5 linked regions of the Callithrix jacchus genome follow. Each later gene encodes a partner of the first gene's protein in a complex. Links are inferred from orthologs where the notes say so. Each region holds a gene or a part of one and is shown in the gene's direction. Other genes may lie near its edges. The genes, in order: TAF11, TBP, TAF5, TAF3 and TAF9.

Region 1 (3,515 bases):
CGCCACCACACCCAGCTAATTTTTGTAATTTTTTTTAGTAGAGACGGGGTTTCACCAAGTTGGTCAGGATGGTCTCGATCTCCTGATCTTGTGATTTGCCTGCCTCAGCCTCGCAAATTGCTAAGATTACAGGCGTGAGCCACCGCGTCCAGCCAATAGGTGACTTTTTTTTAAAGAAAATACAAATCACTGAACTTGAAGCACAAAGAAGTTAGAAAACTTGTATAAATCAGTAACTAAAAAAAAATTGAAAAGATTGTCAAAGACAGACCACCTGCATCCCCCATTTCCATATTCCTGTCTGAGTTTAAATTTGAATTCTTCTTAAGGAAAAGCTAAATCTCATTAATGAGTTTTGTAGTATACTTAAGATTCTACATTCAGTCAGAGGGGGTGAAGTTTCTATTTATTTTTATGGTTATTAAACAGGCAGTTTTTTATTTTTTATTTTTTTGAGACAGAGTTTCGCTCTTGTTACCCAGGCTGGAGTGCAATGACGCGATCTCGGCTCACCGCGACTTCCGCCTCCTGGGTTCAGGCAATTAATTCTCCTGCCTCAGCCTCCCGAGTAGCTGGGATCACAGGCACGCACCACCATGCCCAGCTAACTTTTTGTATTTTTAGTAAAGAGACGGGGTTTCACCATGTTGACCAGGGTGGTCTCGATCTCTTGACCTCGTGATCCACCCGCCTCAGCCTCCCAAAGTGCTGGGATTACAGGCCTGAGCCACTGCGCCCGGCCTAAACAGGCAGTTTTTAAACTTTTAAGTTCAGGGATACATGTGCAGGATGTGTTTTACTACATAGGTAAATGTGTGTCATAGGGGTTTGTTGTACAGATTATTTCATCACCCAGGCATTAAGCCTAATATCCATTAGTTATTTTTCCTGATCCTTTCCCTTCTGCCACCCTTTACTCTCCCATAGACCACAGTGTGTCTTCCCCTCTATGTGTCCATGTTTTCTCGTCATTTAGCTCCCTCTTATTAGTGAGAACATGCAGTATTTGGTTTTCTGTTCCTGCATTAGTTTGCTAAAGATAATGGCCTCCAGCTCCATCCATGTCCCTGCAAAGGCCATGATCTACTTTTTTGTTGCTGTATAGTATTCCATGGTATATACTGGAAAATACATTTTCTTTATCCAGTCTATTATTGATGGGCATTTAAGCTGATTCCATGTCTTTGCTATTGTGAATAGCACTGCAATGAACATAAAAGTGTGCATGTGTCTTTATAATAGAACAATTTATATTTCTTTGGGTATATACCCAGTAATGGGATTGCTGGGTCGAATGGTAATTCCTTCTTTATTTCTTTGAGGAATTGTCATACTGCCTTCCTCAATGGTGAACTAATTTATACGCCAACCAACAGTTTAAAAGCTTTCCTTTGCCTCCACAGCCTCGCCAGTATCTGTTACTTTTTGACTTTTGAATAATAGCCATTCGGACTGGTGTGAGATGGTACCTCTTTCTTTTTTTTGAGACGGAGTTGAGACGGAGTTTCGCTCTTGTTGCACAGGCTGGTGTGCAATGGCGCGATCTTGGCTCACCGCAACCTCCGCTTCCTGGGTTCAGGCAGTTCTTCTGCCTCAGCTTCCTGAGTAGATGGGATTACAGGCACGCGCCACCATGCCCAGCTAATTTTTTGTATTTTTATTAGAGACGGGGTTTCACCATGTTGACCAGGATGGTCTCGATCTCTTGACCTCGTGATCCACCCGCCTGGGCCTCCCAAAGTGCTGAGATTACAGGCATGAGCCACTGTGCCTGGCCTTTTTTTTTTTTTTTAAAGACGGGGTTTCACCATGTTGGTCAGTCTGGTCTCGAACTCCTGACCTCAGGTGATCCACCTGCCTCGGCCTTCCAAAGTGCTGGGATTACAGGCGTGAGCCACTGTGCCCAGCCGAGATGGTATCTCTTTATAGTTTTTTTGTTTGTTTGTTTTGAGATGGAATTTTTGCTCTTTTTGCCCAGGCTGGAGTGCAGTGGCACAATCTTGGCTCACTGTAACCTCCACCTCCTGGATTCAAGCGAATCTCCTGCCTCTGCCTCCCCAGTAGCTGGGATTACATACCACCACACCCAGCTAATTTTGTATTTTTAGTAGAGACAGGGTTTTTCCATATTGGCCAGGCTGTTCTCAAACTCCTGACCTCAAGTGATCCACCTGCTTCGGCCTCCCAAAGTGCTGGGGTTACAGGCATGAGCCACTATGTCAGGCCTCAGTATGATTTTGATTTGCATTTCTCTTTTTTTTTTTTTTTTGAGACGGAGTTTCGCTCTTGTTACCCAGGCTGGAGTGCAATGGCGTGATCTCAGCTCACAGCAACCTCCGCCTCCTGGGTTCAGGCAATTCTCCTGCCTCAGCCTCCTGAGTAGCTGGGATTACAGGCACGCACCACCATGCCCAGCTAACTTTTTGTATTTTTAGTAGAGACGGGGTTTCACCGTGTTGACCAGGATGGTCTCGATCTCTTGACCTCGTGATCCACCCGCCTCAGCCTCCCAAAGTGTTGGGATTACAGGCGTGAGCCACTGCACCCGGCCTGATTTGCATTTCTCTAATGATCAGTGATGCTGAGCTTTTTTCATATGATTGTTGGCCACATGTATGTCTTCTTTTGAGAATGTCTTTGCCTACTTCGGGTTGCCTACTTGGGATTTAAACAGGCATTTATTAAACTTTCAGCATTAGTAAAATTATGTTAAATGCCGATAGGGGAGAGATATAAATAATAAGAGACAAACCTATCTTCAAAAAGACTAGTAATGTGAAATAAATATTTGCATGAAACAGTAAGACTGAAGGATAAGAACGAAGAGCACTGCATGTGAGAAGCTCACTTGAAAGTTCCAAATAAACACTGTTTTGATGAGAAGAGGCCTCCTTTTTAATATTCTATATGGAATCAGCAGCAGTAAAGAGATCTGTAGATCTGGAGGCAGAAGAGCTGGCTGGATGGAGGGGACTTTGCTGACAACCCCTCTAAAGAATAAGGTCAGAAGAGTGGGCCCATAGGGAGAGTGGTTCTCATGATCCTTGGCATTTCATTACCCTTGTAAGCAGATACTGGAGCTGTGCTCATAGCTGGACTGGAAAACTAGATTATTTAGCGGGTTTTCTTTCCACGGCTAAGCTATAATCTTCCCTTAGGAGAGATACTGTATTGTACACTTGATGGTACAGTCAGATCCTAGAACTGAAAAACTACTCAATAAATGGATTTGTTATTTTGTAATAAGGATGATGTCTTCTTACTTTGCCCTAGCCTGGAAAGTAGGGCAAATATATAATAGAGTTTCTTTCATCTTCCCAGCTCAAGAGTCAGGATGTCTCAGATTTAACAGCAGTTGAAAGGGAAGACTCATCATTACTTACTCCTGCAGCCAAAAAACTGAAAATAGATACCAAAGAAAAGAAAGAGAAGAAGCAGAAGGTAGATGAAGATGAGATTCAGAAGATGCAGTAAGTCACCTTCTTATCATTCCCCATCTTAAGGGTCTCTCTTGA
Region 2 (4,088 bases), about 130 Mb from region 1:
GCCTTGTGCGGACCCACTCAGCTCAGGGTTCTGAGGCCTGCAGGGGATCTGGGCAGCGCCTTCGCGGCGGTGACCCCCAAATAGGCTTCAGCAGATGGGGGGAGGGCGAAAGTGAAAGCTGCGGCTCTCAAGGGTTTTTACCCTCCGTTGAAAGCGTAGGGCGAAAATCGTAGCTGCAGAGGTCCCGCAGCTCTGTGCGGCTCCATTCCCAGCTCTCTGCCAGGACCCGAATACATGGCTGTAGAGGACAACATCTCACTGAAGCGCCCGCAACTCCGGCCGCTACTCCTGCTGCCTCACGGCGAGATGGCCGCCCTGACCGGACGTTACGCCACTTCCGGCTTTCCTGTAACTCGCTCCCGGCCTCTCTATCTCGCACTAGTCGTTGCTCCTGGAGGGCTGCTCTGCCGCTAGTCCCTTTCATAGTTGGGTCCTGCCCATTACCAGAAAGATATTAAGGTTTTTGTTTTTTGTTTTTCCCCCGAAGAAAAGATTGGAATTCACCCATATGGACAAAATTTTAAAAGTCTGACCGTGCAAAAATTTGCCAAAACTGTGGAGCAACGGCAACTGGAATAATAGTAACAGCCTAAATTGTCCTGGCTAATACAAAATGTATGTAACATTTCCTATCCTTAAAGAGCTCACAACCTCACTGATAATAGAAAGTCCAAAGGAAACAAGCGGTATAATATATGATTCCGCCAAAACGAACTATAGAAGGTAAAATAAAGGCGTGCTGACGTCCCACTAGGAAACAACTGCGGATCGAGCCTTTGACCACAGTGCCTGAAGCGGCTTGTGTTTTGCTTAGTGTTCCTAGTCATTCTACACGCTTGAAGATCAGCTAGCGTTGTTGCTGACAGGTAAGGAGCACGCGCTTACTGAGTGCCAGGCACTGCTCAGGCATTGACTGTCAGTCTCCAGAGAGCCCAAAGTTAAGCACTAGTATCATCATTATTAAATTTTACAGAAGAAACTGCGGGGAAGAAGTCAGGGAACTTGCCAACGGTAACGCCTCTAGTTGCTTGAAACACACACACCATTTAAAAATTGATCTTTCCTATGCCCAGCAAGGGCCAATTAGAGACAGCGGTGGTGCGCCCGCCCAGTCCCGGAACTCCTCAAGAGCTTCGCCCCTCCTTCCCTTAAACTACACGCCTACGGAAACACAGGAAGTGAGCAAGTGCCCACACTTCGCATGGCCACGACCCCAGTGAGAACAATTCGCTGAAGCCGAGGGCAGAACTGGCGGAAGTGACATTATCAACGCGCGCCTGGAGTTCAGTGGGGTCGGGCAGGGTTCCTGTGGCGGGCGCCTGGGCCGCCGGCTGTTTAACTTCGTTTCCGCGGGCTCATAGTAATTTCTGCAGTGACCCAGGTAACAGCTTGTCCTCTTTTCTGAGGGTTCGGGCGGAGGCGACCACTGCATTGAGGCCTGGGGGCGATGGTGGGGAAGAGACAAGGAATTGGCGCGCGCAGGCCCTGCAGGGGACGTTCCTCCCGCTCGTGCTGCCGCCGTTCCGGCCTGTAACGGCCACTCGGCCGCCGCTTTCGCCTGGTGCCCTATTCCGCTGTGGTTCGCAAGCGGCTTCCCGTCATACGAGCGTGGGGCGCAGGGTACTGGCGGGCTCGGCGGCGGCGGGCGGGACAGGGCAATCCCTTGCATCGAAGACCCGAAGTTTATTCTGCCCTGGCCTGCCACCCGCTTCTTCTCCATGTTTGAAGGCAGATTCACTGTGGTCTGTGCCCGCCTATTTTGCTACCAACATTGAGACTTAAATACTTTGTCAGAAGCCTGAGACAGCGGACACAGTAGCGCTTAAGATACAGTACACATCACTTTGTTTACAGGGCCTCCCATCTCTCGGTTCAGGCCATCATGGTTTTCCAAATCTCTAGGTAGGCTTTTCTGTGAAAAGACTATGCTTCATTTAGATATACAGACACTAGAAGGCTATGCAGAGTTAGATTGCCTCCAAAAAATATCGAATTTGATGTTTCAATTTCGAAGAGATGAAGAGACCCAGCAAACAACCCTTTTCTAGGGAGAAAGTGCAGTAACCACTGTGCGGTTTCTTCTGTAGACTTACGTGCAAAAAGTGATAAGAGCCTACCAATATTTGCCGTCTCATCTCCTGTAGTGACCTATACAGTCATACTAAGCTTGTCACCTTCATACGGCATGCTTTTTCAATGTTACCTCGTTTATCTGAAGCCCTGACCTGTAAATTCCTATTCACCTTGTGAGACCCAAGTTAGATGGTCCTTGTTTTGTGAAAACACTGCCCCTCTTCATAGTAGTGTGCTGTTAGTCTATATGTCTTCTCTTCCAGGGGCATATATGCACTTATTCATGATCACATACTGTATTCCAGGCATAGTGCTAGATGCAGGGATGACAAAGACTGGTTTCTACATTCAAGAAACTTAGCTGGCCGGGCGCGGTGGCTCACGCCTGTAATCCCAGCACTTTGGGAGGCCGAGGCGGGTGAATCACGAGGTCAAGAGATCGAGACCATCCTGGTCAACATGGTGAAACCCCGTCTCTACTAAAAATACAAAAAGTTAGTTGGGCGTGGTGGCGTGTGTCTGTAATCCCAGCTACTCAGGAGGCTGAGGCAGAAGAATTGCCTGAACCCAGGAGGCGGAGGTTGCGGTGAGCCGAGATCGTGCCATTGCACTCCAGCCTGGGTAACAAGAGCGAAACTCCGTCTCAAAAAAAAAAAAAAAAAAAAAAAAAGAAACTTAGCTTAGGGCACACCTGCTATTATACTATGTTTTATAGTAATGATTTGCATACCCTTTATATTGAACATTTTGATGCCAAGGACTATAACCTCCTAATCTTTACATCCTCATCTGCATCACTTCTGTTATTGTTATTATACGGTAACTGTCAAAAAGTATAATTTTAAAAACATCTCTGATATTTTTATTTTCAGAAGCAGAGTTCGCTTGCTTTCTTTTTTGGCCATTTTTTCAGTGATGAGTAGGTAGGATACAGAGTCTGGGGGCCTTAGCCCTTTCAAAGCGATCCTCAGAATCTTTCATTCCTTCACAAATATCTGAGTGTCTATTGTGTACCAGCACATGCTTGAAGTGCATATGCCTGAAGGGTCTTTGGACATATAATTTGTAACTTTGAGACCTGAAGTTCTGGGTGAGAATATGTTGTTATTATAAACTCATTTCAGATATGGACATGAGTAAAGAGATGATGATTTAAGAAAAGCCAGATAACAGGCACGGTTTGCATTAATGTGTTCTAAAGAGGTAAGGTTATTATTTACAAAAATGCAGGGTTTTATCTTTGTGCAGCTTTTTTTTTTAGTTTTATTATAGTAGGAGCTCAATAACTGATCACTGAAGTATATTTACTTAATTTTTTGCCCAAGACATTATAGAGGATATAAAATTGGAATAAAGATCTGAACTTTGCTTAACTGTGCTGTATATACAGTGCTTAACGAATACTCTGCTGTGATATTACAGTTTGCTTAGGAATTAGTTTCCTCTCAGTATTTTTCCTCAAAAGTTTTTGATGCATCATCATAGTATTTAAATGCGTAACAAAATGACTTTTGTTGGCGATTTTACATGTAATCACAGGAAACATGGAAGGAATAAGACTTCAGGATTATAAAGCAAAAGGCAATGTATTCCAAAATAGCTTCATTGGTTTTCTTGTTTGTGTTTTGTATAGCCATGGAACTGGCTTATAGGACTGTACAGGTTACCTGAATCCTTACATTAAACTTCAGGCTTTTTTCCAAAGCAGCATCACTGTCTCTTGGTGTGTGAAGATAACCCAAGGAATTGAGGAAGTTGCTGAGAAGAGTGTGCTGGAGATGCGCTAGGAAAAAATTGAATGGTGAGACAAGTTCCAGCCCAAGGGTTTCTGGTTTGCCAAGAAGGAAGTGAACATCATGGATCAGAACAACAGCCTGCCACCTTACGCTCAGGGCTTGGCCTCCCCTCAGGTAATACAGCAGGAGGAAGAGAATGAGAACAGGGAGGGCAGAAATATGTACTTCAAGAGATGGTATCAAAGGGAAGGAAGGGTATTTAATGATCTGTTTTTGAAA
Region 3 (4,214 bases), on another chromosome or scaffold:
TTCTATCTCAGCCTCCCGAGTAGCTGGGATTACAGGTGCCTGCCACCTACGTCCGGCTACATTTTTATATTTTTAGTAGAGATGGTGTTTCATCATGTTAGAGAGGATGGTCTGGAACGCCTGACCTCCGGTGATCCACCTGCCTCTGTCTCTCAAAGTTTTGGGATTACAGGCGTGAGCCACCGCAACGGGCCATGATTTGTTTTTTTTTTTTTGGAGACAGAGTCTCGCACTGTCGCCCAGGCTGTAGTGCAGTGGCGTGATCTCAGCTCACTGCAATCTCCGCCTCCCGGGTTTCACCATGTTGGCCAGGATGGCCTCGATATCCTGACCTTGTGATCCGCACGCCTTGGCCTCCCAAAGTGCTGGGATTACAGACGTAAACCACCGCGCCTGGCCGATTTTTAAATATACAATTAAAATAGCTTATTTATAATAACAGGTAATAGCATGAATACATAACGTACATATTTCACAGCCACAAAATTCTGTTATTTAAAATCTTTTTATTGAAATGTAATGTATATGGCTTTCGCCTGCAATCTAAGCACTTTGGGAGGTTGAGGCGGGCGGATCACCTGAGGTCAGGAGTTCGAGACCAGCCTGGTCAACATGGCGAAACGCTGCATTTACTAAAAATACATAAATTTGTGGGACATGGTGGGCCGCACCTGTAATCCCTGCTACTTGGGAGGCTGAGGCAGGAAAATTGCCTGAACCCGGGAGGCGGAGGTTGCAGTGAGCCAAGATTAGGCCACTGCACTTCAGCCTGGGCGACAGAGCGAGACTCTATCTCAAAAAAAAAAAAAAAAAAAAAAAAGTAATGTATACGGTGTAAAGTTCATAAAGCATGCAGCTCGATTAATTTTTACAAAAGTAAAAACGGCCAAAAAAAAAAAAAATTAACCACTATCCAGGTCATAGAAAACATTACCAGTATCTCAGAAGCCTCCTTCTGGCAAATGGTATATGCTTTTAAGTTAAAGACCTGGATTCGAATGCTAACATTTGGACTTTCTTCTTGTGTGACTCTGGTAAATTATTTAACCTCTCTTGGTTTCGGCTAAGCCATCTGTGCAGTGAAAATAATATTACCTCATAAAATGATTGAATTGAAGGAGATCACATAACGTAAAACGTTACGTCTGGGATTACAGACGTAAGCCACGGCGTAAGCTAGCCTGCAATAAATTGCAATTATCAGGCAAATGTAATAGGCGGTCATCAACTCCCACTTCCTGCCTTTCTATCGCTCGTTTTCTAAAGTTACTCATTCCTATTCCGTTTCGCCTTTTTTTTTCGCTCCTCCTACTGCCGTAAATGGTCTACTAGAGCTGTCGTGAAATGCTCCTCCCCGACCTCCATGCGGCGAAAATGCAATCACGCTTGACGGCGCGAGGTGGCTCAGCCGCAAGATGGCGGCGCTGGCGGAGGAGCAGACGGAGGTGGCGGTTAAGCTAGAGCCTGAGGGACCGCCAACGCTGCTACCTCCGCAGGCGGGGGACAGCGCAGGCGAGGGTAGCGGCGGCACTACCAACAACGGCCCCAACGGCGGGGGCGGGAACGTTGCGGCGTCGTCGTCCGCTGGCGGTGATGGCGGGACCCCCAAGCCCACGGTGGCTGTCTCTGCCTCTGCCCCGGCGGGGGCGGCCCCGGTGCCTGCCGCTGCTCCGGAGGCCGGCGCTCCTCACGACCGACAGACTCTACTGGCGGTGCTGCAGTTCCTACGGCAGAGCAATCTCCGCGAGGCCGAAGAGGCGCTGCGCCGTGAGGCCCGACTGCTGGAGGAGGCAGTGGCGGGCTCCGGAGCCCCGGGAGAGGTGGACAGCGCCGGCGCTGAGGCGGCCAGCGCGCTTCTCAGCCGGGTGACCGCCTCGGCCCCTGGCCCTGCGGCCCCCGACCCTCCGGGTACTGGCGCTTCGGGGGCCACGGCCGTCTCAGGTTCAGCCTCAGGTCCTGCGGCTCCGGGTAAAGGTGAGCCGTGGGGTCCCGGGCAGGCACGGCCACCGCGAAGGGGAGCATGCCGGTAAGGCAGGGGCTGGCGGGCCTGCACCTCTGCGGGCTTGTTTTGAATTTCCTGGGCCCGCCTCTAGGGCCACATGCCCGCCCCTTTCTCTAGTGCGCCGGCTGCGTAGTCAAACCCCCTTCCGAGCTGTCAGTTCCAGCGAGAGGCTGAGGAGAGCTGCTGAGCAGAGGGATGTGTGAAGGTGGGCGCGGAGAGGCGGGTACCTTCAGGCTTTTGGTTCCTTTCCTCTCATATGGGGTTTTGAGCCTTAGTCATGTCCGCATGACGCTAACATAGTGTTTGTACAGTTTCGTATTAGCGTACTTTAATTTTTCTTTATTTCTTTACTTCCTCTTAAAAGATACGTTAGTAAATACTTTATAGTTTCTTTTTTTGTGTGTGTTTGTGACGGAGTTTTGCTCTCGCCCAGGCTGGAGTGCAGTGGTGCAGTCTCGGCTTACTGCAACCTCCGCCTCCTGGGTTCAAGCGATTCTCCTGCCTTAGCCTCCCCAGTAGCTGGGACTACAGGCGCCTACTACCACAGCTGGCGAATTTTTGTATTTTTGGTAGAGGCAGGCTTTCACCATGTTGGCCAGGCTGGTCTCAACCACCCGACCTCTAGTGACCCACCGGACTTGACCTCCCTGAGTGCTGGGATTACAGGAGTGAGCCAACATGCCTGGCCACCATGCAATATACCCTTGTACCAGTCCTGCACATCATGTGCCCCCGATTGTCAGCTAAAAGTTGGAATATTAAAAATACATATGGGTAGTACCACCAGTGTTAAGTCTTTGGAGGATGCAGGCTCATGGGCATCACTTCAGACTTAGTGAATCAGATCCTCTAGAGGTGGAATATGGGAATCTGCACTTTTGAATAAGTGCTTCTAAGGAGTATTGACATACGGCAGCTTGAGAATCATGTGTTCAGGCATCCCATTACACGTAATTTTTAATTTTTTTTGAGACGGAGTTTCGTTCTTGTTACCCAGGCTGGAGTGCAATGGCGCGATCTCGGCTCACTGCAACCTCCACCTCCTGGGTTTAGGCAATTCTGCCTCAGCCTCCTGAGTAGCTGGGATCACAGGCACGCGCCACCATGCCCAGCTAATTTTTTGTATTTTTAGTAGAGACGGGGTGTCACCATATTGACCAAGATGGTCTCGATCTCTTGACCTCGTGATCCACCCGCCTTGGCAATTTTTGTATTTTTAGTAGAGAAGGGGTTTCACTATGTTGGTCAGGATCGTCTCGATCTCTTGACCTCATGATCCACCCGCCTCGGCCTCCCAAAGTGGTAAGATTACAAGTGTGAGCCACCGCGCCAGGCCTTTTTTTTTTTTTTTTTTTTAGGTGGAGTTTCACTCTTCTTGCCCAGGCTGGAGTGCAGTGGTGCCATCTCAGCTCACTGCAAGTGATTCTTCTGCCTTGGCCTCCCGAGTAGTTTGGATTACAGGCATGCCTTACCATGCCCTGCTAATTTTTGTTTTTTCAGTAGATACAGGGTTTCTCCATATTGGTCAGGCTGGTCTCGAGCTCCTGACCTCGGGTAACTTCCTGACCTCCCAAAGTGTTGAGATTACAGGCATGAGCCACCGCTCCTGGTCAACCTCCTTTGTACTAAAAATACAAAAATTAGCCAGGTATGGTCCCAGCTGCTCAGGAGGCTGAGGCAGGAGAATTGCTTGAACCTGGGAGGTGGAGGTTGCAGTGAGCCAAGATCGTGCCACTGCACTCCAGCCTGGGTGATAGAGTGAGATGGTCTCAAAAAAAAAAAAAAAAAAATTCTTTTTTTTACATTAATATTGTCAGGAGGCTCTCATGTTGAATTTTCTCTATTAAATGAGTGGTTATGAGGCTATTATAATACGTATATGTGAAACATTTGGTATTGATAAGTTTATGCCTCTGTATCTGTCCCTAATACCTTAGCCCCTGCTTTCTCCCAGCAAATGTTGTCACAAAGTCCATGCAGTAAAACTCATATACAGTATAAGTTCTCACAGTTGATCCTGAGTTAACAATAAATGTTTATTGAATTCTCCAGTGCAGAGCCTTTAGCCAAATTCATCTGTATGAGGCCTAATCTTTGCAGCATTGCTTGAATACATAGCATTGTATTCATATTTCATTGTAATCCATAAATAGAAATGTGTGTGAGTGTGGCTGGGCACAGTGGTTCACGCCTGTAATTTCATCACTTTGGG
Region 4 (2,598 bases), on another chromosome or scaffold:
GTTTTTATGAAAGGGGCTACAGGTCATATTGTTCACAGAGATGATTCTAAAATGTTTGTTTTTTATGACCTACAACAGAAAGCTTAGAATATTCGTTAGAAATGTCTTATCATTGAACACTTGTTAGCGTTTTTCTGTTTCGTGATTCTAAACCAGTGATGACACTGATCATGGTGCCAATGAAGTGCTAATCTGTATTTTTTAGTTTAATGTACCTGTTTATTCAGTTAACAGTATAAAGTAATTATTCTGATCTGGTCTCTCCCTGTTTTTTTTCACATCGCCTCCGTTCTTCCCGCTCCCACTTCGCAAACATCAGATCCGAGATGAGTGGGGCAATCAGATCTGGATCTGCCCTGGGTGTAACAAGCCTGATGATGGGAGTCCAATGATTGGTTGTGACGACTGTGATGACTGGTACCACTGGTAAGTGCCCAGGCGCCCTGCCGGCCACACTCTCAGGCAGCATCCTCTGCTCCTGAGATGAAGCATCCACAGAGTAGATTCCAGCCTTTGGACTGATGCAGGGCTGCCCTGGAGTCAAATCACAGAGCCTGTGAAGTGCAGTTCATTGCAAAACCCAAGAGTCTTCGGACTATTGTTATTCACCCCAAATCTGAATACTCTGCTTAGCTTATCGATCCTTCTTATTAAAACAGTAATAAAAGGAGATGCATGGGTGTCCCTGGCCTTGCTTTCAGGTAGTGTTCCGTAGGAACTGTAGCACTGGCCAGAACCACAAAGAGGCAGCCCCTTTGTAAGGACGGTACAAACTGCAGGACTAAAGACTGCTTATCTGTGTCGTAAACCTCTTCAGCAGTTCCTAAAAACTGAAACACTCAACCAAAATTTATGCAGATAATCTCGTGTTAGCTTTAAAATGTCAGATACAAAAAGAATAGTGATCTATTAAGTTACGATATATGATATCTCTAAGATAAAGACAAGCCTTGGCTCAGAAGACTCCGATTCCTGGCTGGCAGGATGAATGAGCTGATGAATCTCAGCAGGGCTGGGAAGGAAGCTTCTGTAATATCACAGTCTGCCTGCCCAACAATAGTGCTGCGAGTTAGTGCTGCTTGACTTTGATTTTGGGAAACATGTCATAGACTTTTAAAAATTACTGTGAAACATTGAAGGAGAAGAATAGACGTATATATAGAAGTTGCTGATCTGAGCTTGTTTTCATGTGTAGGCCCTGTGTTGGAATCATGGCTGCACCCCCAGAAGAGATGCAGTGGTTCTGCCCCAAGTGTGCAAACAAGAAGAAGGACAAAAAGCACAAGAAGAGGAAGCATCGAGCGCACTGACGGCTCGCCAGGGTCAGGGTCAAGTGGGGTCAGCTCAGGAAGGGAGCTGGTGCAATTCTGCCTCCACATCCACCCCCAGATGCCCGTGGATGAAGAACCCGGGAGGACTGAGGCAGGAACACACCTCGAACCTGGATTGTTCACTCCCGAACCGTGTTGGCCTATGGCTCCGTGGCCGGGCCCCGGAAGGAAACTCAAGCAGAGGCGTGGCCTGGGGGCTGCCCCTCCTCCTCTTCTCTAATGCCAGTGACAAGTATTATTAATAAAAAGAGCGTACATCTTCCCTTTGACTTCCTTCCTTCTCTCCAGGGCCTTTTCATGGAGGTATTAGATGAGAAGATGATGTAAACTGCTTTGACTGTAACTTAAGGATGGTAGAGTCTGTATACAGTCTTCAGCCCCCTCCCTCTGTAGTAAGATAATCATAACAACATAAAGGAAAACTCCAGCTGGAGTACTGGTAAATATTTTTGTGATAAGAATATATGAAGCTTCCCTCCTTCCCCCGTTTTTAGTACTAACATGTAAAATGTTCAGGCTTTTGTGAAATACCTTATATTTTTTAAGAAAAAGGTTTCTATCATGTCCTGTTTGCTTTTGTGCAAATTATTTTTGTTTAATGTATTTTATATCTTCGTTGCATTCTAATTTTGCCCTTCTTTAAACTGCTGGAGTGTCTTCTCGCTGCTTGTACATTTCATCAACTTGTATAAAAACTCTTCAGACTAAAAGATTGCCCCTACTGTAAATAATAAATATTTATGAAGTAGTTATTTTTTAAATTTTTATCGTGTTTAATTCTGGCTTTCTCTGAAATCCACTATGATTTCAGCCGTGTCTGTATTGACGCTGGACAGAAATAAAGAAGGCTGGAGAAAAAGCCATCGTTCAAAGACATTTCCCTTGAGCTGAACCTGTGCAGTGGCCGAAAAGATCGTAGGGGAAAGGGCCCAAGCAGCTGGAAGGAAAACAAGGCAATTTGAATTTCTAGTTTATGATTTGAAGTTGTTTTGTTTGTTGTCTATTTTGTTTTTGTAAATTTCTTTGACAGACTTTTACTAAAAGGACATGTAGTTTCCATGAAAGTTAAAAAAAAAAAAACCCACTTATACTGTAGCATTTTCTTTATATTGTTTTTATTTCTACAAATCTGTTCATTAATATTGTGCTTTAAGGCTGAAATGAAGTATATTATGAATTTTTTTAAGAAAACATCAAATTTCAGGGTATCACAAAACTTTATTGTATTCTTATACTCCCACTATTTATTATATGTTATATAGATGTC
Region 5 (4,036 bases), on another chromosome or scaffold:
ACTACTTGTGGTGTTACAAACGGAGTTTTTCACATGAACTCAATGACGTATTTGAGAAAAACAGAAAAAAAAAATTCACAAACTGTTCTACTTACCTTTTGTCATTAAAATCAGGCAATTCTATTTGAGTAGTTTATATACTGAAAATTAAAGTTTTCCTTATTTCAAATTACAGTTGCAGTTCTTCATTTCCAACATTTCCCAAAAAATAAAATACAATGAATTCACTTGCTGTGGACAAAGAATTTAAATCTTACTGTAAAACTGTTTTCATTTGATCATGTTATTAGAAAATTTCTTAGTAACACTGTTTTTCAATTGTGTTTTCAAATTCTTAAACCTTTATGCAAACTAGTGAATTCAACAATTTTAAGTTAGCCAGAAGAGAATTTTAATGCCTACAAATTTATACACTGGAAAGTATACTGAACTATTTTACAGTTTGGAGCACACATCGCCTATAAACACCCCTACGTACTAGAAAACAAATTGCTGGCCTTTCGTCCCAAATCGTTCACGGTTAGACTTTGACGTTTCAAATGGTACACAGTTGGTAAAAAAACAAACAAAACATTTGAGTAAATATAGTTTGTAGCTCGAAATAAAAGATGCAGACTGTTGTCACCGTCAGGACTCTATTCACTCTTTGAAAACAAGATTGACAATTACCTCCTTTTAAAAGCAGGTAACTGTCCCTGAAGATGCCAGATTCCTGAAATGAGATGTCAGAGGTAGACCTTCAAGACTATTCCTAGCCGACCCACCACCACCCCACACAGTGAACAGGGAATACTAAGGTCAAATATTCGTCCAACGTAATCCTGTAATCAGTAGGGTGCCGGGTTGAGCTCGCAAATCCCCGCTGCAGGACTGGGCTCTGCACCCTCAATCTTCTCATCCCCAGATGGGACGGGCGGGTCAGGAGGAGGAGCGACGAGAGCCCAAGAAGGCTTGAAGGCAAAGATAGACTCGCGTCTCTAAGACATATACATATTATAGCGGCAGCCGCGGCGGCCTTACGTTCCCGGAGCTGCATTCCCTTTTCGGCGAAGAGCGGAGGCGAACAGGATCTACCCCGAGTGAAAGGGTAGCCACCTGGCCGTATCCGGGCCTCTCTGAGGTACGGCCTCCCGGGGACCTTTCAAAATGGTCGGCGCATCCGCGACGCAACCGAAGGGCGGGGCCCGCCGGAGTGTGTGACTTAGGCATCCAGCGCACTGCCTGACCCGAAGCACCGACCCGAGTTATGCCCACCCTTCAACTTTGCGATGGAAACGTGTTAGGGAAAGCTAGGTAACTAGTGGGCCGCAGCTGGGCCGCCGGGGCAGGCCGGGGACGCCGCGGTGGGCCTGGAGGTCCTTGGGGCCCGTGGGCTCTCACTGCCGCCCGCCCCTTCCGGCTCCTCCCCGTAGTGCAAAGGGCGCTTGAGCGAGGTGATCGGAGCAGTTGCAGCGAGGACCATGTTGCTTCCGAACATCCTGCTCACCGGTCAGGGCGCGCGGCCGGGAGGGGCTGGGAGGGGGCAGGCGAGGTTTGCGGAGTGCTCTGGGCCTCGGGCCCCGCTCAGTGTTCTGTTTGGAGGCCTCCCGAGGGCCGCGAGGCGGCTGCAGCGCCCCGGGAGCCGACCCTCACGGGCTTGGCAGGAGGTGGGGGAGGGGATGCGGAACGTTAATTCCGGTGGCCCGAGACTTCCGGGGGAGGAGGAGAGAGGTCGGCAGATCAGCTCTCCTGCTTGGCAGTCTGCTTAGTCTTTCTGAATCTGGTATTTTGTGTGTAAAATGGGTTGTTGATTCTTTGGCAGGGTTGGCTTTGGGATTTTTAGCGAAATAGTGTAAGGTCACATCTGTTCTCCAGTAGAGCCATTAATGGTGGAGGCCTCACTCCTTAGGCCTCCCTGGGCCATATTTTATTTTTTCCTTTGCTCCTCAGATCAGATTTCGGGAAATGACTTTAGATGTTTGTGGTGTGACTAAATTACTGTATGCCTTTGTTGAGTTACATCAGAGGTTCTCCCCAGCCCCTTAAAGGAGAGGAATCTAGTGAGCATTTCGGGTCGTTTCTCGCGTAGGAGTGGGTCTTTGAAGCCATACTCAGGGTGCGTGTTACCGGTGAAGGAACTAAAATGCTGCTGCGTAACGACTTCATCGAATATTTTAGTCCTTAAAGTGTTTATTAAATTGTAGACCATTCGTGGAAAAATCTAATGCATGTAGATTTTATTGGAACGTACCGAAAAATTAAGAGTCGGTGGAAATAAAGCAGTAAAGTTACAGCGTTCATCTAAACATAAGATGATTTGCAGCGCACAAGACATGTCTGTTTCTGAGAGGTGCCGATTAACCAGGCCACAAATAATGTTTAGCATTTAAGATTTCTTAAGTGGAAGATATCACATCTTTTTGCATGGATCAAACATAGTGCCTTGGTTATTAATATTGTGTCATTGTCAAAACTTTAAAGTGAGCATTTTATTGAAAACATAATTGAGTCCAGGGTTCAGACTTGGTGAATTATAGTGGACTTGAGGTAACTGTTAATCTCTTCCGTGTGGGAACTGGATTATCCCTGTTATCTTTATGCTCAAGTTTAATTTCAGGGATGTTAAACCTGAATAGCTGAAAATTACAAATTTGATCTTGAAGTGTAATTATAATAGGTATCAAAAGGGGAAGGTAAGAAGCAATGTATAGTATGTAGTATTGTCATTTATGTAAAAGGGAATATATGTTGTATTTATGTATGTATATACAAAGTATGTATATACATGTACATTCATATGCAACATAAATAGGGTTTCTCTGGGAAGATATACATGTATGGGAAACTGGTTCACAGTGGTTGTCTCTAGGGAAGGGTGCAAGGGGTAAGACTGCTTACATTTTAACATGAACAGTTTTTGTTTTTGTTTTGGGACAGTCTCATTATGTTGCCGGGGCTGGTCTCGAACTCCTGAGCTTAAGCAATCCCCCTGCCTTGGCCTCCCAAATTGCTGGGATTACAGGCATGAGCCACCACACCTGGCTATGAACAGTTTCTTAATCTATTTAAATTAAAGCAAATATGCCGGATGGGTGGCTCATGCCTGTAATCCCAGTACTTTGGGAGAGGGAGGTGGGCAGATTGCTTGAGCTCAGCCTAGGCAACATAGCGAAACCCCATCTACAAAAATTAACCAGGGCATGGTGGTACACACTATGGCCTCGTCAACTGGACATGCTGAGATGGGAGGATTGCTTGAGCCCGGGAGGTTAAGGCTGCAGTGAGCCAAGTGCCACTGCACTCCACCTGAGCAACAAAGAGATATCTTGTCTTTAAAAAAAAAAAGTAAATAAATGACTGTAATTGATTTGAGGTGGTTAATTTTATTCTGAACAGTTCCATGGTAGTAGCAGGCAGTTTGAATCTGCGACAGAATCTGCTGAGCCTCACCCTTGAAGGATCAATAACTGGGTAATATTTTGACATTCAGTTAGCTTTGGAAAATTTTTATTAGATCATAGACATATTGAGGTGGCTCATGCCTGTAATTCCAGCACTTTGGGAGGCTGAGGTGGGCGGATCACCTGAGGTCAGGAGTTCGAGACCAGCCTGGCCAATATGGGGAAACCTCGTCTCTAAAAATTCAAAGATTATTAGCTGGGTGTGGTGGCAGATGCCTGTAATTCCAGCCACTCAGGAGACTGAGGCAGGAGAATCACTTGAATCTGGGAGGTGGAGGTTGCAGTGAGTTGAGATTTTGCCACTGCATTCCAGCCTGGGTGACAAGAAGGAAACTCCATCTCAAAAAAAAAAACTTACATATGATTGCTAATTAGAAGATTTTTCATTTCATTCATTGAGAACCTTAAGGGCAGAGACCAGGGGAGACTCTGTCTCAAAAAAAAAAAAAAAAAAAAAGGGCAGAAGGTGGGCTACAGTGTGATGAGTAGTATTTCACAAACAATATTTTTCTGTGGCTTATCTTACAGGTACACCAGGGGTTGGAAAAACCACACTAGGCAAAGAACTTGCATCAAAATCAGGACTGAAATACATT

What was found.
Region 2: TAF11 (region 1) and TBP share a complex: the UniProt entries of both Homo sapiens proteins name them as parts of the TFIID basal transcription factor complex. The link is inferred for Callithrix jacchus from reciprocal best matches to the Homo sapiens genes TAF11 and TBP.
Region 3: TAF11 (region 1) and TAF5 share a complex: the UniProt entries of both Homo sapiens proteins name them as parts of the TFIID basal transcription factor complex. The link is inferred for Callithrix jacchus from reciprocal best matches to the Homo sapiens genes TAF11 and TAF5.
Region 4: TAF11 (region 1) and TAF3 share a complex: the UniProt entries of both Homo sapiens proteins name them as parts of the TFIID basal transcription factor complex. The link is inferred for Callithrix jacchus from reciprocal best matches to the Homo sapiens genes TAF11 and TAF3.
Region 5: TAF11 (region 1) and TAF9 share a complex: the UniProt entries of both Homo sapiens proteins name them as parts of the TFIID basal transcription factor complex. The link is inferred for Callithrix jacchus from reciprocal best matches to the Homo sapiens genes TAF11 and TAF9.

The regions. Positions count from the first base shown.
Region 1 is NC_133505.1:43,126,452-43,129,966, reverse strand, and holds part of TAF11 (transcription initiation factor TFIID subunit 11), read left to right. Parts: intron 1-3,321; coding exon 3,322-3,470; intron 3,471-3,515. UniProt on the Homo sapiens protein: The TFIID basal transcription factor complex plays a major role in the initiation of RNA polymerase II (Pol II)-dependent transcription.
Region 2 is NC_133505.1:177,177,893-177,181,980, forward strand, and holds the start of TBP (TATA-box-binding protein), read left to right. Parts: upstream 1-1,286; 5' UTR 1,287-1,381; intron 1,382-1,535; exon of another isoform or gene 1,536-1,902; intron 1,903-3,778; exon of another isoform or gene 3,779-3,781; 5' UTR 3,782-3,929; coding exon 3,930-3,983; intron 3,984-4,088. Other genes in the region: PSMB1 (proteasome subunit beta type-1), read right to left, coding at 142-254. UniProt on the Homo sapiens protein: The TFIID basal transcription factor complex plays a major role in the initiation of RNA polymerase II (Pol II)-dependent transcription.
Region 3 is NC_133513.1:96,354,398-96,358,611, forward strand, and holds the start of TAF5 (transcription initiation factor TFIID subunit 5), read left to right. Parts: upstream 1-1,401; 5' UTR 1,402-1,415; coding exon 1,416-1,974; intron 1,975-4,214. UniProt on the Homo sapiens protein: The TFIID basal transcription factor complex plays a major role in the initiation of RNA polymerase II (Pol II)-dependent transcription.
Region 4 is NC_133508.1:5,916,862-5,919,459, reverse strand, and holds the end of TAF3 (transcription initiation factor TFIID subunit 3), read left to right. Parts: intron 1-319; coding exon 320-426; intron 427-1,195; coding exon 1,196-1,310; 3' UTR 1,311-2,092; downstream 2,093-2,598. UniProt on the Homo sapiens protein: The TFIID basal transcription factor complex plays a major role in the initiation of RNA polymerase II (Pol II)-dependent transcription.
Region 5 is NC_133503.1:140,124,002-140,128,037, forward strand, and holds the start of TAF9 (transcription initiation factor TFIID subunit 9), read left to right. Parts: upstream 1-1,223; 5' UTR 1,224-1,293; exon of another isoform or gene 1,294-1,460; coding exon of another isoform or gene 1,461-1,710; intron 1,711-3,375; exon of another isoform or gene 3,376-3,450; intron 3,451-3,968; coding exon of another isoform or gene 3,969-4,036. Other genes in the region: cell cycle checkpoint protein RAD17, read right to left, coding at 96-105; AK6 (adenylate kinase isoenzyme 6), read left to right, coding at 1,461-1,710, 3,969-4,036. UniProt on the Homo sapiens protein: The TFIID basal transcription factor complex plays a major role in the initiation of RNA polymerase II (Pol II)-dependent transcription.